Saccharomyces cerevisiae S288C: one gene and its partners. Each later gene encodes a partner of the first gene's protein in a complex. Each region holds a gene or a part of one and is shown in the gene's direction. Other genes may lie near its edges.

Region 1 (6,929 bases):
GCCCAGGAAAAAGCTGCTGAGGAAGCCGATGCTGACGCTGAATTGGCTGACGAAGAAGATGCCATTCACGATGAATTGTAATTCTGATCACTTTGGTTTTTCATTAAATAGAGATATATAAGAAATTTTCTAGGAAGTTTTTTTAAAAAAATCATAAAAAGATAAACGTTAAAATTCAAACACAATAGTTGTTCGCTATATTCGTCACACTGCACGAACGCCTTAGGGAAAGAGAAAATTGACCACGTAGTAATAATAAGTGCATGGCATCGTCTTTTACTTAAATGTGGACACTTGCTTTACTGCTTAGGAAACTACTTATCTCATCCTCCTCCATTCCCTCTCCTTTTCCAATTACCGTAATAAAAGATGGCTGTATTTACTCCTCCATCAGGTAATAGCAATTCCACCGACCATACTCACACACAAGATGACCACGACAAAGATGATAATGATATCAAGAAATTCTACATAAGGCCAAGTTTAGGCTTAAAACTGTGGGGTCCGCTCGTACCCGCTCCTGATAACCTACCGGGACTATACACTCTAATCACTATCCAATCTGCAGTGGGTTTCTTTGCCCTTTGGAGACTGAGAAGGCTCTACAAACTACCGCCACCGCGCCGCATTGCCACTGGCACTCACTCGGATTTATCCTTTGGCGAACTACCCAGTGAAATGATTGTCAATGGCAAGACTAAAATCAAAAAGGATATTGCTGACTTTCCAACTTTGAACCGCTTCTCCACCACCCATGGTGACATTGTGCTCGCCCCTCCTCCCATCATACCTCGCCAATCTCGATTCGTCAGCGTCAGAAAGCTCTTATGGGGGTTGTTTGGCTCTTTGCTACTTTCTCAGTCACTGTTGGAGCTTACTCGCCTGAACTTTCTTAAATACGACCCCTGGTGCGACGAAATGAAATCCGTACGTGACAAGAAGTTTTTCAACAATATTGTCAAATATTATCACGAGGGCATAGACCCCACCAAAATAAAAGTCAAGGATGCTATGAACGGTACTCCTCTCTCGACAAATATCCCTGAGGTCAAACAAAGCGTCGCTCTCGCTAGAGCGCAAGTTGAGGCGCAGAATCCCATTATTAAATGGTTCGGACCCTTGGAATACAAGCCCATGTCTTTCAACGAGTACCTCAATCGCATGGAATTTCACTTGGACATGTTCGAGTTTTTTCAAAATAAAAGAAACATTAGAGAAAATTCCATTGAACTCATCAATTCCATATCCCACAATCCGCAGTCTTCTTCTACTGGCCTTGAAGGTCTTTCCGAGTCCAAAAAACTCCATCTACAAAATGTGGAAAAAAGACTGCATTTCTTAGCATCTTCGGGAGATTCCATTTCCGCACCAGTAAAGAAGAGATCCAGCACCACACTCTCCCGAGGTGTCATTTTGCCCCATGACACGAAAGGCCCGCAAGATATTGATCTCGATACAATAAGATCGCTTTATGATCCATGGATGACTTTGGCCTTAGAAACTTCGCTAAGCATCAAATTCATACCAACTACCATGCCCTCCCATACCAAGACACCCACTAGCACGGACCAGCCGTTACCAGGGCCTACCCCCAAGGCTCTCACTAATGAAAAGACACATTAGGTCTTTGCGGATTGCTTAGTTGTACCGTGCGTATATTAAATCCTTCTTCGTACACCGTGATTTTTCAGACGGCTACCAGAGAAAATATGGCTGGGATTTCATATTATATATGCAAATATATAATAACATATATATATATACACTCCATTAATAACTAATACCTACATTCATATCAACACTTTCATCCTCCCCTTCCCCCATAGCAATGAAGATAACGTGTACAGACTTGGTGTACGTCTTCATTTTACTCTTCCTAAACACGAGTTGTGTCCAAGCCGTTTTTTCAGATGATGCATTTATCACTGATTGGCAACTGGCTAACTTAGGTCCTTGGGAGAAAGTCATCCCTGATTCTCGAGACCGCAACAGGGTTCTCATCTTATCGAACCCTACCGAAACTTCCTGCTTAGTTTCTTCGTTTAACGTTTCTTCCGGACAGATTCTTTTCAGAAACGTTTTACCCTTTACCATTGATGAGATTCAACTGGATAGTAATGACCATAACGCAATGGTTTGTGTGAACTCTTCAAGCAACCATTGGCAGAAATATGATTTACACGATTGGTTTTTACTAGAGGAAGGCGTAGATAATGCCCCTTCTACGACCATTTTACCTCAATCCTCATATTTAAACGATCAAGTATCTATTAAGAACAATGAACTACATATTCTCGATGAGCAGTCAAAACTGGCAGAATGGAAATTGGAGTTACCTCAAGGGTTCAATAAAGTGGAATATTTTCATCGTGAAGATCCCCTGGCGTTAGTGTTGAACGTTAATGATACCCAATATATGGGATTCTCTGCCAATGGCACAGAATTGATCCCCGTTTGGCAAAGAGATGAATGGTTGACTAACGTGGTAGACTATGCTGTATTGGACGTCTTCGATTCTAGGGATGTGGAGTTGAACAAAGATATGAAAGCGGAACTTGATTCAAATTCGCTTTGGAATGCTTACTGGCTTAGATTGACAACTAATTGGAATCGCCTTATCAACTTATTGAAAGAAAACCAATTCTCACCAGGACGTGTCTTCACTAAACTCCTAGCTCTAGACGCTAAGGATACCACGGTATCAGATTTGAAGTTCGGATTCGCCAAAATCTTAATTGTTTTGACGCATGATGGCTTTATCGGCGGCCTTGATATGGTCAATAAGGGCCAACTTATCTGGAAACTCGATTTAGAAATTGATCAGGGCGTCAAAATGTTCTGGACGGATAAAAACCATGACGAACTTGTTGTTTTTTCGCATGATGGGCATTATTTGACAATTGAAGTTACTAAAGATCAACCGATTATCAAATCAAGATCCCCCCTATCTGAAAGGAAAACTGTTGATTCCGTTATTAGGCTGAATGAACATGATCACCAGTATCTGATTAAGTTTGAGGATAAGGATCATTTACTGTTCAAATTGAATCCCGGCAAGAATACGGATGTACCAATAGTTGCCAACAACCATTCTAGTTCCCACATATTCGTCACAGAGCATGACACGAATGGCATTTATGGCTACATAATCGAAAACGATACGGTAAAACAAACTTGGAAAAAAGCCGTAAATTCGAAAGAGAAAATGGTGGCATATAGCAAGAGGGAAACAACAAACCTAAACACTCTTGGTATTACACTAGGTGACAAATCGGTTCTTTATAAATATTTGTACCCCAACCTAGCGGCTTATCTGATCGCTAATGAAGAACATCATACAATCACTTTTAACTTAATTGATACCATTACAGGAGAAATCCTCATTACCCAAGAGCACAAGGATTCTCCGGATTTTAGGTTTCCAATGGATATTGTTTTCGGTGAATATTGGGTCGTTTATTCCTATTTCAGTTCTGAACCTGTTCCAGAACAAAAGTTAGTAGTGGTGGAATTATATGAGTCACTAACCCCAGATGAGCGTTTGTCTAACTCAAGCGACAATTTTTCTTATGATCCATTGACTGGACACATTAACAAACCTCAATTTCAAACTAAACAATTCATTTTTCCCGAGATTATCAAAACAATGTCCATTTCCAAGACAACGGATGATATTACCACAAAGGCAATCGTTATGGAATTAGAAAATGGACAAATCACCTACATACCAAAGCTTTTATTGAATGCAAGAGGTAAACCAGCAGAAGAAATGGCCAAGGATAAGAAAAAAGAGTTTATGGCTACCCCATACACGCCAGTTATCCCAATTAATGATAATTTCATTATCACTCATTTCAGAAATCTATTGCCAGGATCCGATTCGCAGTTGATCTCCATCCCAACCAATCTGGAATCCACAAGCATTATATGTGATCTAGGCCTTGATGTATTTTGTACAAGGATCACACCTTCGGGCCAATTTGATTTAATGAGTCCTACTTTCGAAAAGGGTAAATTGCTTATTACTATATTCGTCTTGTTGGTGATCACGTATTTTATCCGTCCTTCTGTTTCAAACAAGAAGTTGAAATCCCAATGGCTAATTAAATAGATATTTACATACACATTATATATATCAGATACACATTTCAAGGCTCCTTATTTTGGCTTTCTTTTTTTTTTTTTTTTTTTTCCCTGGAAGACGTCATACTCGTGGTTATATAATCTCCTACTTCTTTGGAAAATGGACACTTAATCAATGACGGTTGATAGCAGTACGTGCACTAGCAGACTAATATGAAGAAGACGTTCGAGCAGTTTCGAAAAAGCAATTTACTATTTCAGGTTCTCAAAGGACCCCAGCATCTAGAATGTCAGAAGTTATTTGTCCTTGATTCTTCATTCAATCCACCACATCTGGCCCATTTTCAACTACTATCGCAGACTATTAAAAACTTCAAATTGAAGGACACCCGTTCGCATGTTTTATTACTGTTAGCGGTGAATAATGCAGATAAGTTGCCTAAGCCGGCATCTTTTCCAACTCGTCTGGAAATGATGTGCTTATTCGCTGACTACCTTCAGGAGAAGCTCCCCCAATCTGTAGTATCTGTCGGGTTGACTGTTTTCTCGAAATTCATCGACAAGGACAAAATATTACATGAGCAATTTGTTAAAGGATGCAGTGCAGATATAGGCTACTTAGTTGGTTTTGATACAATTGCTAGGATCTTTGATGAAAAATATTATCATCCTTTAAAAATCAGTGATGTAATGGAGAGCTTCATGTCGGGATCTCAATTATATTGCTTGGCGAGAGGCGATTGCCATCTCAGTGCTGAATCGCAACTAAGATACGCCAGTGACATCCTTGAGGGAAAATTCGAACCGGTAATACCAAGAGAATGGGGCGCTAGGATTCATGTTATGCAAAATGATTATCCAGCATTAAGAAATGTTTCATCATCCGAGATTAGGAACAAACTGAAGAATGGGCAAGTGGAGAGTTTGAAAGACGAGTTGCCATTGTGCATATACGATTATTTGATCAATAATAAGACAATATTTGATTGAAAGAGAAAGATAGAAATTCAAATGCCTTTCATGGAGATATATGTATATAGATAAAGATAATATTAGGAACAAAAAAAACTTTCTGTTATACTAGACTAGTAATCTTAAAACAATAACATAGCAACAAGGCATGTACCAAAAAGAAGGGGGTCCAATTGCATGCTTGGATTTGCTGAGTTCGCGTATTTTGAAATCACTCTTTTCTTGGAGTCTTCACCTTCTTGCGTTAAATCTTTGTACCCTTTTTCTATGATTGTACCATCCTGTTTAACATTCAGCGTATTTTCCTTCTTACCAGAAATACAAGTGAATTTCCCACCCCTGATGATTGATCTTCCATTTGATGGGTTTGTCCATTTATTGCAATCCAACACGTTTGATGAACTCTTAATAAAAGCGCTACCTTTCACCAGTTTCAAGCTATCGAACATGATATCTTTGAACGAACCTTCAAAGAAAATAGCACCTCCAATCTGCTTCAAGTTTGGCAGGAAAGTAATATCCTCGAGGGATTCGTTATCGGCGATCATCAAGCCACCTTGAATGTCTGTTAAGTTCTCCAAATTAACTTTTATTAAATTTACATTGTTGATAATTCCTAATGTTCCACCAATCTTCTGCAAATTGTTCAGGTTCAATTCGTAAAAGTAATTTTCGATGAACTCTAAAGAGCTTTTCACTTTTGTTAATTGTGGAAGGTAGACCAATGATGTGTCCCTAATCGTTATGTTTTCCACTTCTCTCAAGTGTGGCATTTCAAGTTCTAGCTCCTTAGCGTTCGCATGTACACTGAATTGTCCCCTAATGGTTTTAACGTTCGAATGAATAGTTTCTAAAAATCTGTTATTATTGATATTGAAAGTATCAATTTCCTGAACCTTGTTGAAATTCTCGATGTTTGCTAATGAAGTATCCGATATGACAATATCCTTTATAATCTCAATATTCTGAGAATCCATGGAGACGTAGTTCAAGATGGGAACAACTTTCCACTCCAGTGACTGACAAAATTTCAAAGTTGGAATTTCAACAGAAACCAAAGAGGTTAGTCCCTGTAATTGGAAGAGCCCTTCGATTTTATTCAAGTTCCCGGCTTGGATTCTGATCAGTTCAGGTGAATCCTGAATAATCAGGTCACCACCAATGGCCCTCAAGCTGTTCAAATCCAAAATGTTAGAATCATAGTTTGTGACTTTTAATGACCCCAAGATGAATTCACATTGGTTTTGTAAATGAAAAAGATCATGAGACGATTCAATGACGTGCAAATCTTTTTTACACAACTCTGATATCGGTGAGTTTGTGTTCAGACTCTTGACATCTATTTCAAAAAACGGTTCATTTGCTCTTCTTTGAAGTTCGAGATTACCGTTATGAAAAGGCTTCACATTATGTGGTCGCCTTGGCGGATCAATAGCGGCACCCAATGCATGTGTCACAAATAATGATGCAAATATAATCGCGAATAAACAACTTTTCCTAGTAATACGGTTCATAAGTCGATCAAGTAATGAAAAAATGGCTTTTGGTTTTCCTTGTTGTATTTCAGATGAGATATCTTACCAACAGAACAAGTTTCTCTATTGTATGTCACAAAAGGATATAGCTTCTCCAAAATCTTTCTTTTTTATATTTTTTTTTTTTTTTTTTTTTTTGAATTAGTGACGCATCTTCTGTACAGTAAAGAGAGAAAAAAAGGGTATAATAAAACAGTTAAGCTATACTATAGTAGCGCATACACACAACGTATATACATCTAGTATTAAATATTAGTAATTATTAAATAACGAAAAAATAAATTATGGTTGAAATAGAATCAAACGTAAAGAACAAAGAAAAAGCTTAATGGAACGAAA
Region 2 (4,312 bases), on another chromosome or scaffold:
TCAAGAATAGCTCATTATCAGTGTTAATTAAGTATTCATCTGACCGAATTTCTGCGGTATTTATATCTGCTTTGTTTGAGTGGGTTATTTGACCAAGTTCAGTTGACTCGCCATGATCCCCAATTTTGTATGATAGGAAGTTTCCATTATCTTCATTAAATGTAAACGTCTTGTTGAAAAATATCTCTGCTCTCTGTGAATTAAGTATGTTCAACGATAAAGTGGTTTGAAACCGATCTTTCATATCAACCACTTCCGCCAACCAAACACATGAGTCACCAGGCTGGAGAATATGTCCATTAGGTAACGATACTAATCTCAAACTAAGCATTTTGTTTATGGCATTTCCAAATTTCTGGTAATATGTTTCCGTAATCTCATCCCAATTTGACATGGCATTGTCAGTAACCATTAATTTGTCTCTTTCGTCGGTGTTAAAGGGCCTTAGAAAGTATATTCCAGAACCTAAAAAAATCGGTTCATATTTGGTGATTAAATCAATAGAGTTACTACCAATTTTTGATTTTGCGGGCATCCTGCAAAGTATAGGTGAGGCGTTCTTTTGGTCTTCATTTTTGGCTAGTAATTCTAAATTGCACAATTCAGGTATGGTAACTTGGGCTTCATAAACACAAATTTTTGTTTCTCTCACCCATTGAATAGTCGATGGTCCAGAGTTTGAGCCGCCACAGACATATTGTATTTCAACCATTCTTTCAGCCCCCGTCACATCGCAAATATCACCTGACCCTATAATTTCGCTGATGTAATATCCTACATCGTCATAAAGTAGTTCAAATTCTCTCTCTTCTACATTTGCTTTTGGTTTTCCCAGGCGGTAGACCAAAGATTCATCTCGATTTACTATTTCACCAGTTTTTGTATTTACTCTACCATGGAACTGAACAAATTCTATGCCAGGACAGTACTCGTAAATCCAAAATCCGGCTTGGTAGAAGATGCACCGTTCATTTAATTTATCGAAAATTGTCTTAACACCTTGATTCAGGGTTTTAGTTAATAATGCTGTCTTTTCACTATTGCTATGCTCATTTGAGTCTTCCAATACATCATTCAATTGAGTGCTTGCATTTTGAATAAAGCATTCAAGGTCGTCGCCCATATTCACTATATATCCCGAGTTCATGACAGACTGATTTTGTAATATCCTATCACTCCAGTCGTCCTCATCGATGTAAGATATGAGGTACTTATTCGATACTATGGGGTCTTCTATAGGTGCTAATAGTGATGATCCTAACGGAATCAACGCAGAAATTGCGCTCAGAGCATATATAATTTTAGCTTGCATTGAAACAGGGAAGAAAGGGGATGATAACGATATATGTGAAGATCTATTGCTTATTTTAGGGAATCTGCTTCTTTTTTATGAAGCTACATTTTTACTTGAAATTTCCGCTGTATTTTTTTGCATACGTGCGCTGGGTCTCTAACCACTGTATTTGCATTGGTAACTTAAAAACCCAACCAAATATAGGAATAATTAGAAGTATATAAAAGACACTTTGAGTAAAAAAACAAGGTGGTACTATTCAACACTATCTAACAAGAACTGTACAATACTCATTGAAGGAAAGATGCTTGTGCGGCTGTTGCGTGTGATTTTATTGGCCAGCATGGTTTTCTGTGCTGATATTTTACAATTAAGCTATTCAGATGATGCGAAAGACGCTATACCCCTAGGAACATTTGAGATTGATAGTACATCCGATGGGAATGTTACAGTAACAACCGTTAATATACAGGATGTTGAAGTTTCTGGAGAATACTGTTTGAATGCCCAGATTGAAGGTAAGCTGGATATGCCATGTTTTAGCTACATGAAGCTGAGGACACCACTAAAATACGATTTAATTGTGGATGTAGATGAAGATAATGAGGTCAAACAAGTGTCGTTATCATATGACGAGACTAACGATGCTATTACTGCTACAGTCAGATATCCAGAAGCGGGACCTACTGCACCAGTCACCAAATTAAAGAAGAAAACCAAAACTTATGCTGATAAAAAAGCTAGTAAGAATAAGGATGGAAGCACTGCACAATTCGAAGAAGATGAAGAGGTTAAGGAGGTGTCTTGGTTTCAAAAGAACTGGAAAATGTTACTTTTAGGCCTATTGATTTACAATTTTGTTGCGGGCTCAGCAAAGAAGCAACAACAAGGAGGTGCCGGAGCTGATCAAAAGACTGAGTAAATAAAGTATTGTGATTTTTTAAATTTTTAAGTGTCGTTACTTTTATCTCTTTCCCGAAAATATTTGAATACATAAAATTTTTAAATAAATGTTTTTATTTGTTCACATGTCGTGAATGACAGGTACTAGTTATCAAAAATGAAGAATATTTCTTCATTCCATTACATTATAGACATGATGATTGCCGTCAAAAGACCGACCAAAGGGGTTGTTTGGCCAATTGGTGCCATGATAGCGGCATTGCCTTTGGAACTCTTAGAGCTAGAGCTGGAAGCGCCAGAACTAGAAACACTAGAGGCAGAAGCAGCAGCCTTGATATCGCCAGAAGTGAACTTCTTTTCCTCGGCCTTAGAAGATGACTTGGAAACCTTGGCAGTAGTTTGGCTTGATTGAGATTTGGAAGTGGACGATAGTTTAACAGATGTGGATGATGCACCATTTTTGCAGACAAAAGATTCACCCTTGATACCCCCTTTCTTTTGCAAAGCTTTCAAAGCATTACAGGAGAAATTGCTTGACTTTGATTCGACATCTGCGCCACCCTTGACAGACTTCAAAGAGTCTAGGTTCAAGGAGGTGAAGTTACCAACAACTTCCAAAGTACCGCCAATGGTTGTTAGGTTGTCGAGACCACCAATTTTTTGTAAACCAGTGTTGTTAGCAACGACAAGAGCACCACCTATGGTTGACAAATTAGAGAACGACAAGTTCTTCAAGTAGTCATTGGAAACGATACTGAAGGTTTGGCCAATGGTGTTTAGCTTAGTGAAATTCAAACTTGAGATGGAGTTGTTGATGAAACCCAATGAAGAGTTAATCTTTTGCAAGTTAGCGAAGGAAACAGAGTGGACATCGGTCAAACTGATATTGTTTGCCCAAACCAAGTCATCGAAGGTGATTTTAGTCTGGTTACCGTTGAACGAAAATTGTAAAGAATCGCTGACTGTTTCAACTGGAGATTTGATCGAGGTTAATTTCTTATTGTTATTGACGTTGAACACGTTAACTTTTTTCAAGGCTGAGAATCCATCGACAGATTGTAACGAAGTGTCGGAAATATAAATGTTGTTAGCAGATTTGATATTTGAAGTAAAACTGGAGATGGCGGGTAGAGTAATCAGTTTTATACTATCAACGCTCTGTAAAGACCCAAATGAAGCAGAAGTCAAGATTGTCAAACTCTGTAGGTTCAAAGAATCTGTGATGGACTCCAAGGAATCAGCAGCGAATGAGGTTAGATTTGTAGCGTTAAATATAGTTAGAGACCCGTTGATTTCTTTAACATTAGCCAAAGCACCAGTCTTCAAACCACCACCAATAGTTAAGTTCCCGACTAACGTATCACAGCGGCTATATTTATCTAAGTCACTCTGAGCTGTGGCCGTGGCATGTGAGCTTATGGTACAGGAAGAGGGTATGCTGGAAGAAGAGGAAGTAGCAGCCAAAGCTGACGTTATTAAGAGCGCAGTTGAAGCGATAAGTGAATGTAATTGCATGATATTTTTATAGCGAGCTTTTTTTTTTTGCTTCTCTCTTGGATTAGATCTATTGCAGCGTGATGTACTGTAAGATTCTATTGAACTATACAGAGCAAGAGTTGAATAGAGAAGAATATGCACGCTATTTATATGTTTATCTGTAGAGCATATATGGGTTTGCTCGTAAGGAACCTTGAGCGGTTGAATGATATTACTTAGAGTTAATGCTATGAAAACCCAGCCCAATCATTCAACATTACTCTTTGTAGTAATAAACTCTGATCAAAGTCCGAATCAGGGCAGTGTGCCTACGCTATTTTTAGAGACTCGTAACACTATTAAAACTAAAAGCCCTCTCTACTAATTAAGATATCCCAGCTTTGTGGTCTTTTTTGGGTTTCTTTGGTTTTTTTCCCTCAAGGATACCGAAAATGCGGGCCTTAATTTAAAGCCTTTTCCGTAAAGAGAAAACAAAAATGAGTTGGCGGGTCAACGGGGAGTGCTATTTTAAACGACTCAAATACATTTGAAAAAGAAAAAAATAGCCGCCCAGCTCCCACGTGCATATCACGTGCATTATAACCCGGTTTTCAGATAATAGAAATCCGCTCACTCTAT
Region 3 (5,030 bases), on another chromosome or scaffold:
TGTACCAAAAATTGTAGAAAGTATATTAAGTAGAAGTTTTAAAGTATCTATCAAGGCGAAGAATAATTCTCGGTTCTCGACAGCCCAAAAGCCGAATTGCGTTAGTTAGCCCACGCGCGAGCGTAAACGCAAGGACCATTGAGCTTGGAACAGAAGGAGTCGCTTCGGCGTCCCCGCCAAGGCGTACTGTTTGCCTCGGCCTGCCGCGTGGTGGTGGTAGTTTGAGCCGGAGCCTAAAACGCCCATAAGTTTTTTGAAAATCAAGCTAAAAAATGAAAAAAAAAAAAAGTTAAATTGGTACTGTGCGCCCATACATCACATACTTAAAAGTGTGTAATTCCTCTATACATCCACACCTCACTATTTGAAAAACTCAAATATTGAGGACGCGCGATTACCAGCGGCATGTTTACTCGCTGGAAGATGTGAAATAATTCTTGAATATGGGTTTGCAGTTAGTCAATTTCAATCTAAATAATCTTAATCGACTATTCAATTCTTAAATTGTAAGGTTTTTTAATGGCCTTTCAGTTCTAGTATTTTTTATAAAACAAGACCAACATACATATCCAAGATGACCAGATCTTCCGTTTTAGCTGATGCTTTGAATGCCATTAACAACGCTGAAAAGACCGGTAAGCGTCAAGTTTTAATCAGACCATCCTCCAAGGTCATTATCAAGTTTTTGCAAGTTATGCAAAAGCACGGTTACATTGGTGAATTTGAATACATCGATGACCACAGATCTGGTAAGATTGTTGTTCAATTGAACGGTAGATTGAACAAGTGTGGTGTTATTTCCCCAAGATTCAACGTTAAGATTGGTGACATTGAAAAATGGACTGCCAACTTGTTGCCAGCCAGACAATTCGGTTACGTCATCTTGACCACCTCTGCTGGTATCATGGACCATGAAGAAGCCAGAAGAAAGCACGTTTCTGGTAAGATTTTGGGTTTCGTTTACTAAGCTACTTGTTACAACAACCTTTTCGGTAGCTTTATATACTATAATAAACACAAGATAGCCTCATAACTTTACTCATTTCTTATTATACATTTTTTTAGTTTTCCTGTTAAATACTAATATATTTGTACTTTAAAACTGTTCAAAAGATTAGACAGAAATGAATTTATCTGCCGCATTTCTGCATGCACGAAGTCGAATATGCAAATGTTTATATTGGCTTTATTAATTAAACAAACTATATTTATGTGAGAAGGTAAAGCCGTATTTCCATGCGTTAATAGAGTAAAAAAAAAAGAAATCATAATCTTCTACCTCTTCTACCACCCTTCTTTCTGGTGGAGTCTGATGGGACTGGAGTAACGTCTTCGATACGGCCAATCCTCAAACCAGATCTGGCCAAAGCTCTCAAAGCGGCTTGACCACCTGGTCCTGGGGTCTTGGTTCTGGTACCACCAGTAGCTCTGATCTTAACGTGAACGGCAGTGATACCGACTTCCTTACACTTAGCGGCAACATCTTGGGCAGCCAACATAGCAGCGTATGGAGATGATTCGTCTCTGTCGGCCTTGACTTTCATACCACCAGTAACTCTGGCGATAGTTTCCTTACCAGATAAATCGGTAACATGTACAAAGGTATCGTTAAAGGAGGCGTAGATTCTGGCAACACCAAAGACTTGAGAGTTATCGCGAGCTTGAACAAGGTCTATACATGATAAGAGGTATAGTTGTTAGTAAACAGAACTTCTGCTTTTTCGATTATTAAAAAATAAACGAATGAGTCACTATCTAACAACCATTTAGTTACAATCCTTTTAAGATAAACATTCTTTATTACAGATGATACAGTATTAAGGGTGAGCGCAGAGCCTCTATAACACAATAGCATTGAAGTGCTTTATTGCAGAAATTTTAACTCCGTATTACAGAATTTCATGGCCTTACAAACATAAGTAGCATCTCATAACACTATTGCAATATAGTTAGGAGTGCTTCAAAGTTGCAAAAAAAATAAAATTCCAATAATAACATCATGCGCTACCCGATCACAGTCTCCATCTGAAAAAAAGAATAACTAAATGGTTTTAAACAGGATATCACCCCTTTCACGTACCGTTAGCCATTCTTAATTGTTATTGGGAGTTGTTGATTTCAGTCTTTTTCTCTCTTGCGATGAAGATGCATACAGAAGGAATAGTACCGCTTTTATACTCGTAGAAGGCAAGTTCTTGCGACTATATCTTTTATTCCGTTTTGTTTTTCAAGTCTATCACCCATTAAAAAGTTTGAAATTTTTTCCATATTCTTTTCAGTGTGGTGCAAGGATGTACAATGATGTGTTTACACCACATATAAAATCAAGCTCGAAAAACAGTCTCGAAAATGATCGAGGATTTCAGGATGAAATTATGTATGAAATTAAGATGAACGAATTTGTCAAGCCATTAAATATCATCAAAGTAAATTTGATCAACAAGTGAAAGAGCAGTGTGACGATGTTTTCACAGATTGTTCTTTTACTCAGTGCATTTATTTATGTCGCCAGTGCTACGGCCAGGAGAGGGACCATTAAGGGTCGCTTAGACTTAGCAGCAAGTAACATCACCGGCTTTGTTTCAACTAGAACAAGTTTCAAACTTTATCAGATCGGCAATTTTTCGACAGAATATCCTTACACATCTACGACCATGTTTCAAGATGACGAAGGCAACTTTGAATTCGCTAATCTCCCTTTAAACGACGGTGTTAATGAAACGACATACTATGTGATGTACCCAGCATCTATGGACTTCAATCTGAAGCCAAACAGAATTCTTATTGAATTCAAGAATTTAGAGAATGGCACCTTACAATTGAACGCGTTCAAGAACTTTTTTGGAAGAGAATATTTCCCATCCAAAGATATAACGTACCCAGAAAAATTACAATCTATGAAGGTGCACCCTTATATTACAGTGGAGCTTTTACATAAGGCCCCGATTAGATCTTATTTACAGGCTAGAAACGTCAGTATCTTTTCTACAGGTATTGTGGGTAATATTTTGAACTCACGTTGGAAACTGGCGGGCGTTATTACCTTAATTGCCCTTGTCGTTTTCCCAATCATAGTAGAAAAGTTGGACCCCGAAACAGCTCGAGCCATCAGAGAGGAGGCAAAAAGAAAACAAAGAGAAAAGTATGCTGCCGTTGCCTCAAAGTAGAGTGACTATTATGTGTTGATAAAGATTCTATTATTATATGTAAATTTTATGTATGGTACAGATAAGTAAATTCAAAACACCCGTATTTCCTAAAGGGAATAAATATTATTTGCATTTATATTCTATCATGTTAAACTACTCAGGACGTATTTTCGCTTTTATTTTCGATTGTGATGTGCATCTTTCATAAAGGAATAACCCTAATGTGTTCAGAACCAAACCGAACACTTGCAGCCAAGTAATTCTTCTTCCAATAAAGACCCAACTAACCGCAATAATGGCAAAGCGCTTCATCAGATTCGCTATTGAATATGTTAAAGTTGAGACCTCACCCAGTAAATGAAATGTAATCATTGCCTGAATGAAGTGGAATGTCCCGTTCAGTAAAAATAAAGAGACTGGAAAAGCTTTTATTACTGTAGAAGAGCTGTTAATTTGAAAAAAATACCTAAATAGTACAGGAAATTCTAGAGTGATAAACCAGCCAAACGATAAACAAAATCCAACAAGGGAAATATAAATCATTAAAGTCAATTTGTCATATGATTTAGGTTTCTTTTTCGCAACAAGTTTCTCATCCAACTTTTCATATAAGGGTAAAGGTGATTCTTGCCGTGAGAATCCAGAATTACTTTGAGATTCATCTGTTTGAGATCTGTACGTGAACACGGTCTTGCCATATATATTTTGCAAGACAAAAATGAACATTGATATCATAGCGCATATTACGCCGTATTTAGAGAATTCTCTCAGCTCATTGGAAGAGGCCGGTGAACGATTATCTTCTTGAACTATAATCCAAACTCCAAGAACTAAAGTGCATAAACTAAAGATAAGAGTTAAAGTAATTTTCAAAGTGGATATTTTCAAAATCTTTTGGAGCAAAAGGATAAACATGGGGGATAGCGTTTTTATACTTGCAACCGTGGAAACAGGCACCAAAGAGGTAGCTGTATGCCCAAAATATTTCCCTACAAATTGGAAAAGACCTAAAGGTAGAACTGTTTGCAGGATTGGTTTAGAGGGCGGTATAATGAGGGAGGATAGTTTTGATTCTTTCCTAGCTGCACGGCTAGTTTCTCTGTCGTCGATATAATATTCCGGAAAAGTACCATTAGGAAATATGCGATAGAATCCTGGGAAACTATATGCAATATAACACGTAAACCATGCTAGCACAGCAGTATAAATGAACTGAAACTCACCCAAAAAAAGTGGTAATGGGCAAACCGTTAGTACCTGCTTCGTTACCTGAGATGCCAACGATGAAATAAAATACCAACTTATGCATAAAAAAATTATGTGTGCATTGTGCCTAATGGATGCCGACAGCTGTTGAAACATCGTTTTCCCCTTTTTCTTCGAGTTCCTTCATTATTATAGAAGGCATATGTCACACCGTGCCAATTTATTTGTTTGCATTTTTTTTTTTTCACCTTTCCGACAGGCGCCATTGTTATCACATTAGCAGAGTGAATTGGTTGCGATTTGAAAGAGAAAATGTATCAAAAACAAACAATTGTACCCCACCTCCCCCTAACAATCATCCATTCTGCATCCAGTAGCTAATGATAGTAAAATATTTGTACAAATTACGTTTTATTGTGTCTTTTTTGCAATTTCTTTGAATGCAATGTTGCGTATATCATTGCATCTCAGCCAAACGGTTTAACCGTTTCCAGAAAAAAAAAGTCTATAATATGCTATGCTGTTACAACTATAATAGAATTTTTATATAGTGATATGCTTTTCTATAAAAAAAGGAATGTGAAAAATGAGGGATGCAAGTGGAACTGTAAAAAAAAAAGAAAAAATAAATCTATTAGCTGACTAGTGAAGGAAAGGTTTCAAAATTGAAATTTT
Region 4 (4,814 bases), on another chromosome or scaffold:
TTCCATCCATGATAAATACCATTATAGAGACAAGCGTTTCTATGGAAAGATTAAAGTCATTCCTACTTAGTGACGAAATTGATGATTCGTTCATCGAACGTATTGATCCTTCAGCGGATGAAAGAGCGTTACCTGCTATAGAGATGAATAATATTACATTTTTATGGAAATCAAAAGAAGTATTAACATCTAGCCAATCTGGAGATAATTTGAGGACAGATGAAGAGTCTATTATCGGATCTTCTCAAATTGCGTTGAAGAATATCGATCATTTTGAAGCAAAAAGGGGTGATTTAGTTTGTGTTGTTGGTCGGGTAGGAGCTGGTAAATCAACATTTTTGAAGGCAATTCTTGGTCAACTTCCTTGCATGAGTGGTTCTAGGGACTCGATACCACCTAAACTGATCATTAGATCATCGTCTGTAGCCTACTGTTCACAAGAATCCTGGATAATGAACGCATCTGTAAGAGAAAACATTCTATTTGGTCACAAGTTCGACCAAGATTATTATGACCTCACTATTAAAGCATGTCAATTGCTACCCGATTTGAAAATACTACCAGATGGTGATGAAACTTTGGTAGGTGAAAAGGGCATTTCCCTATCAGGCGGTCAGAAGGCCCGTCTTTCATTAGCCAGAGCGGTGTACTCGAGAGCAGATATTTATTTGTTGGATGACATTTTATCTGCTGTTGATGCAGAAGTTAGTAAAAATATTATTGAATATGTTTTGATCGGAAAGACGGCTTTATTAAAAAATAAAACAATTATTTTAACTACCAATACTGTATCAATTTTAAAACATTCGCAGATGATATATGCGCTAGAAAACGGTGAAATTGTTGAACAAGGGAATTATGAGGATGTAATGAACCGTAAGAACAATACTTCAAAACTGAAAAAATTACTAGAGGAATTTGATTCTCCGATTGATAATGGAAATGAAAGCGATGTCCAAACTGAACACCGATCCGAAAGTGAAGTGGATGAACCTCTGCAGCTTAAAGTAACTGAATCAGAAACTGAGGATGAGGTTGTTACTGAGAGTGAATTAGAACTAATCAAAGCCAATTCTAGAAGAGCTTCTCTAGCTACGCTAAGACCTAGACCCTTTGTGGGAGCACAATTGGATTCCGTGAAGAAAACGGCGCAAAAGGCCGAGAAGACAGAGGTGGGAAGAGTCAAAACAAAGATTTATCTTGCGTATATTAAGGCTTGTGGAGTTTTAGGTGTTGTTTTATTTTTCTTGTTTATGATATTAACAAGGGTTTTCGACTTAGCAGAGAATTTTTGGTTAAAGTACTGGTCAGAATCTAATGAAAAAAATGGTTCAAATGAAAGGGTTTGGATGTTTGTTGGTGTGTATTCCTTAATCGGAGTAGCATCGGCCGCATTCAATAATTTACGGAGTATTATGATGCTACTGTATTGTTCTATTAGGGGTTCTAAGAAACTGCATGAAAGCATGGCCAAATCTGTAATTAGAAGTCCTATGACTTTCTTTGAGACTACACCAGTTGGAAGGATCATAAACAGGTTCTCATCTGATATGGATGCAGTGGACAGTAATCTACAGTACATTTTCTCCTTTTTTTTCAAATCAATACTAACCTATTTGGTTACTGTTATATTAGTCGGGTACAATATGCCATGGTTTTTAGTGTTCAATATGTTTTTGGTGGTTATCTATATTTACTATCAAACATTTTACATTGTGCTATCTAGGGAGCTAAAAAGATTGATCAGTATATCTTACTCTCCGATTATGTCCTTAATGAGTGAGAGCTTGAACGGTTATTCTATTATTGATGCATACGATCATTTTGAGAGATTCATCTATCTAAATTATGAAAAAATCCAATACAACGTTGATTTTGTCTTCAACTTTAGATCAACGAATAGATGGTTATCCGTGAGATTGCAAACTATTGGTGCTACAATTGTTTTGGCTACTGCAATCTTAGCACTAGCAACAATGAATACTAAAAGGCAACTAAGTTCGGGTATGGTTGGTCTACTAATGAGCTATTCATTAGAGGTTACAGGTTCATTGACTTGGATTGTAAGGACAACTGTGACGATTGAAACCAACATTGTATCAGTGGAGAGAATTGTTGAGTACTGCGAATTACCACCTGAAGCACAGTCCATTAACCCTGAAAAGAGGCCAGATGAAAATTGGCCATCAAAGGGTGGTATTGAATTCAAAAACTATTCCACAAAATACAGAGAAAATTTGGATCCAGTGCTGAATAATATTAACGTGAAGATTGAGCCATGTGAAAAGGTTGGGATTGTTGGCAGAACAGGTGCAGGGAAGTCTACACTGAGCCTGGCATTATTTAGAATACTAGAACCTACCGAAGGTAAAATTATTATTGACGGCATTGATATATCCGACATAGGTCTGTTCGATTTAAGAAGCCATTTGGCAATTATTCCTCAGGATGCACAAGCTTTTGAAGGTACAGTAAAGACCAATTTGGACCCTTTCAATCGTTATTCAGAAGATGAACTTAAAAGGGCTGTTGAGCAGGCACATTTAAAGCCTCATCTGGAAAAAATGCTGCACAGTAAACCAAGAGGTGATGATTCTAATGAAGAGGATGGCAATGTTAATGATATTCTGGATGTCAAGATTAATGAGAACGGTAGTAACTTGTCAGTGGGGCAAAGACAACTACTATGTTTGGCAAGAGCGCTGCTAAACCGTTCCAAAATATTGGTCCTTGATGAAGCAACGGCTTCTGTGGATATGGAAACCGATAAAATTATCCAAGACACTATAAGAAGAGAATTTAAGGACCGTACCATCTTAACAATTGCACATCGTATCGACACTGTATTGGACAGTGATAAGATAATTGTTCTTGACCAGGGTAGTGTGAGGGAATTCGATTCACCCTCGAAATTGTTATCCGATAAAACGTCTATTTTTTACAGTCTTTGTGAGAAAGGTGGGTATTTGAAATAATGACATTGATTATTATATATGAAGATATAGAACATTTAATGCGCTGCAATATGTACGGTCACGCCAATTCTTTTTCTTTCTATATGCTTTCTAGTAACCCGGGTAATCACAAATGAAGCTAGTAGAGATATAACTAAATACAACTTAATTTTAACCTTATGTTGGATTGCTCAAGCAGTGTTCGAGAAAGACAGCGGCAGACAGATAGAAATGAGCTCAAATGAAGAGGTATTTACTCAGATAAACGCAACTGCGAATGTGGTTGATAATAAGAAGCGTTTACTTTTCGTGCAAGATAGCTCAGCACTTGTTCTAGGGCTTGTTGCAGGATTTTTGCAAATCGAGTCAGTCCATGGGTTTATTTGGTTCCTGATTCTGTACAACTTGATTAATGTCATTTACATTGTTTGGATCTGTCAACTTCAACCAGGAAAGTTCTACCAAAGCCCACTTCATGACATTTTTTTCGAATCGTTTTTTAGAGAGATAACTGGTTTTGTCATGGCATGGACATTTGGATACGCCCTAATCGGATGAACATATAAGAACTACTTCTATAAACGGTTAGAAACAGGCTTGATTTATTATGTACAGTAAATATAATGTTATTTGTGTTTTTTTTTTTTAAATTTTTTTAGTTCCTTCTATGTAAAAAGACATGACAACAGTATTCTCAGTCAAATGATTTCAAATACACAATGTTAAATTCTCTATCTGTTGCAGAAATAAGAAGAGCGTAAGAGCGCAAAGATTTTTGCAGAAAAATAGAGATGAGGTACAAAAAGTAGGTAATGGAAAAAAGCAAATAATGAATATAGGGGAACATAAATGTTATGGACAAGAGTAGATATCAAAATAAAACAAAATAAAATAGAGTAAGTGAAAGACAAATGGAGGAAAAAAAAAAAAAAAAAAAAAAAAAAAAAATAGTAAAAAGTGAAAGGAGAACGATGATAACACTAATCACACCTCCGCATTTTCAACCAATGCTGCAAGTTTCTCAACACTGGCTAAATGTCTATTTCCTAGGGAGTTAGATTTGTTTAGTTTATCCAAATATGCTCTAATGGCAATGACGATCAATTTCTTACCCTCACCCTCAGAGACATTAACTAATTTTTGAATCACATAGTTGGCAAATTGATCCTTGATCATTAAAATCATTGGAGAATCGTCTTCCAGATTCAAAGCATGATTTTTGTCTCTTGGTAAAATCTTAGAAATTATTAAATCCTTCTGATTTTTAGAGCCATAAAGAATAGATTTTTCGACCACGTTGGAGGCAAATTTATGTTTAGAGTATTCGACAACATTATTGGCCACAGTTTCTATGATTTCCTGTTTGATATCGACCATTTCCTTATTGGTGAACTGATCTTGTTGCAAAACATATTGAATGACATAGTTACCATATTGGTCTTGAATTAGATATGGTATGAAATCTTTCAATTCGTTTAAAATGCTTTCCTGATCTTCGCTCGAACCAAATTCTAACAATCTTTGAATGACCCTACAGCCGTAGGAGTGGGTAGATAGATGGTAAATGTGGCCAGTTAAAGAACTTAAGATAAAAGGTAATTTTTCGATAGGAATTGTTTCGATGGCCTTTTGAATTACGTGATTACCGTTCTGATCTTTGATCATTTGCAAAACGGAGTCAGATAATTCCAGGACTAACTCAATTCTTTGATTGGAATCAATATATTCTAACGCCTTTTGAATTACACGACATGCGTACATTTGTAGAGATAACTGTTTCATGTTACCTTTAAATTGATCAACCAAAGTATTTTTTTGAATTTTGCTACCAAATTCAAAAAACTTCTGAATGACGTAATT

What was found.
Region 2: the proteins of EMC1 (region 1) and EMC10 are in contact, whole or in part, in a cryo-EM structure (PDB 6WB9), measured with the Saccharomyces cerevisiae proteins. Residues at the interface, in NP_009884.1 of Saccharomyces cerevisiae: His425 (codon at 3,101), Phe427 (codon at 3,107), Ile440 (codon at 3,146), Glu442 (codon at 3,152), Lys447 (codon at 3,167), Thr449 (codon at 3,173), Trp450 (codon at 3,176), Lys451 (codon at 3,179), Lys452 (codon at 3,182), Ala453 (codon at 3,185), Asn455 (codon at 3,191), Glu458 (codon at 3,200), Asn499 (codon at 3,323), Glu501 (codon at 3,329), His502 (codon at 3,332), Ile513 (codon at 3,365), Thr514 (codon at 3,368), Gly515 (codon at 3,371), Glu516 (codon at 3,374), Ile517 (codon at 3,377), Leu518 (codon at 3,380), Thr520 (codon at 3,386), Gln521 (codon at 3,389), Glu522 (codon at 3,392), His523 (codon at 3,395), Lys524 (codon at 3,398), Asp525 (codon at 3,401), Pro551 (codon at 3,479), Val552 (codon at 3,482), Val558 (codon at 3,500); in NP_010341.3 of Saccharomyces cerevisiae: Asp28 (codon at 1,680), Glu63 (codon at 1,785), Cys65 (codon at 1,791), Pro77 (codon at 1,827), Cys78 (codon at 1,830), Phe79 (codon at 1,833), Ser80 (codon at 1,836), Tyr81 (codon at 1,839), Met82 (codon at 1,842), Lys83 (codon at 1,845), Tyr90 (codon at 1,866), Asp95 (codon at 1,881), Asp97 (codon at 1,887), Glu98 (codon at 1,890), Asp99 (codon at 1,893), Glu101 (codon at 1,899), Lys103 (codon at 1,905), Gln104 (codon at 1,908), Val105 (codon at 1,911), Ser106 (codon at 1,914), Leu107 (codon at 1,917), Ser108 (codon at 1,920), Tyr109 (codon at 1,923), Glu111 (codon at 1,929), Arg121 (codon at 1,959), Pro123 (codon at 1,965), Glu124 (codon at 1,968), Ala125 (codon at 1,971), Gly126 (codon at 1,974), Pro127 (codon at 1,977).
Region 3: the proteins of EMC1 (region 1) and SOP4 are in contact, whole or in part, in a cryo-EM structure (PDB 6WB9), measured with the Saccharomyces cerevisiae proteins. Residues at the interface, in NP_009884.1 of Saccharomyces cerevisiae: Val25 (codon at 1,901), Phe26 (codon at 1,904), Ser27 (codon at 1,907), Asp28 (codon at 1,910), Ala30 (codon at 1,916), Phe81 (codon at 2,069), Arg82 (codon at 2,072), Asn83 (codon at 2,075), Asp119 (codon at 2,183), Trp120 (codon at 2,186), Phe121 (codon at 2,189), Leu122 (codon at 2,192), Leu123 (codon at 2,195), Glu125 (codon at 2,201), Gly126 (codon at 2,204), Val127 (codon at 2,207), Glu500 (codon at 3,326), Asp528 (codon at 3,410), Phe529 (codon at 3,413), Arg530 (codon at 3,416), Phe531 (codon at 3,419), Phe547 (codon at 3,467), Ser549 (codon at 3,473), Pro551 (codon at 3,479), Val552 (codon at 3,482), Pro553 (codon at 3,485), Glu554 (codon at 3,488), Ile599 (codon at 3,623), Phe600 (codon at 3,626), Pro601 (codon at 3,629); in NP_012343.1 of Saccharomyces cerevisiae: Phe39 (codon at 2,577), Val40 (codon at 2,580), Ser41 (codon at 2,583), Thr42 (codon at 2,586), Arg43 (codon at 2,589), Lys47 (codon at 2,601), Tyr49 (codon at 2,607), Ile51 (codon at 2,613), Tyr58 (codon at 2,634), Pro59 (codon at 2,637), Thr61 (codon at 2,643), Thr64 (codon at 2,652), Met65 (codon at 2,655), Phe66 (codon at 2,658), Gln67 (codon at 2,661), Asp68 (codon at 2,664), Asp69 (codon at 2,667), Glu74 (codon at 2,682), Asn77 (codon at 2,691), Val91 (codon at 2,733), Tyr93 (codon at 2,739), Ala95 (codon at 2,745), Met97 (codon at 2,751), Asn100 (codon at 2,760), Arg105 (codon at 2,775), Phe127 (codon at 2,841), Gly128 (codon at 2,844), Arg129 (codon at 2,847), Glu130 (codon at 2,850), Tyr131 (codon at 2,853).
Region 4: EMC1 (region 1) and EMC6 share a complex: the UniProt entries of both Saccharomyces cerevisiae proteins name them as parts of the ER membrane protein complex.

The regions. Positions count from the first base shown.
Region 1 is NC_001135.5:41,805-48,733, reverse strand, and holds EMC1 (Emc1p), read left to right. Parts: upstream 1-1,828; coding exon 1,829-4,111; downstream 4,112-6,929. Other genes in the region: protein disulfide isomerase PDI1, read left to right, coding at 1-81; MGR1 (Mgr1p), read left to right, coding at 370-1,623; POF1 (nicotinamide-nucleotide adenylyltransferase), read left to right, coding at 4,297-5,073; SPS22 (Sps22p), read right to left, coding at 5,178-6,569. UniProt on the Saccharomyces cerevisiae protein: Part of the endoplasmic reticulum membrane protein complex (EMC) that enables the energy-independent insertion into endoplasmic reticulum membranes of newly synthesized membrane proteins.
Region 2 is NC_001136.10:562,927-567,238, reverse strand, and holds EMC10 (Emc10p), read left to right. Parts: upstream 1-1,598; coding exon 1,599-2,216; downstream 2,217-4,312. Other genes in the region: YOS9 (Yos9p), read right to left, coding at 1-1,312; PST1 (Pst1p), read right to left, coding at 2,378-3,712. UniProt on the Saccharomyces cerevisiae protein: Part of the endoplasmic reticulum membrane protein complex (EMC) that enables the energy-independent insertion into endoplasmic reticulum membranes of newly synthesized membrane proteins.
Region 3 is NC_001142.9:70,847-75,876, reverse strand, and holds SOP4 (Sop4p), read left to right. Parts: upstream 1-2,462; coding exon 2,463-3,167; downstream 3,168-5,030. Other genes in the region: 40S ribosomal protein uS8 RPS22A, read left to right, coding at 575-967; 40S ribosomal protein uS11 RPS14B, read right to left, coding at 1,266-1,672, 2,081-2,090; YJL193W (uncharacterized protein), read right to left, coding at 3,303-4,511; AAA family ATPase CDC6, read right to left, coding at 4,998-5,030. UniProt on the Saccharomyces cerevisiae protein: Involved in the export of PMA1, possibly through the monitoring or assisting of PMA1 folding and acquisition of competence to enter vesicles.
Region 4 is NC_001144.5:118,137-122,950, forward strand, and holds EMC6 (Emc6p), read left to right. Parts: upstream 1-3,185; coding exon 3,186-3,512; downstream 3,513-4,814. Other genes in the region: ATP-binding cassette bilirubin transporter BPT1, read left to right, coding at 1-2,975; mRNA-binding protein PUF3, read right to left, coding at 3,939-4,814. UniProt on the Saccharomyces cerevisiae protein: Part of the endoplasmic reticulum membrane protein complex (EMC) that enables the energy-independent insertion into endoplasmic reticulum membranes of newly synthesized membrane proteins.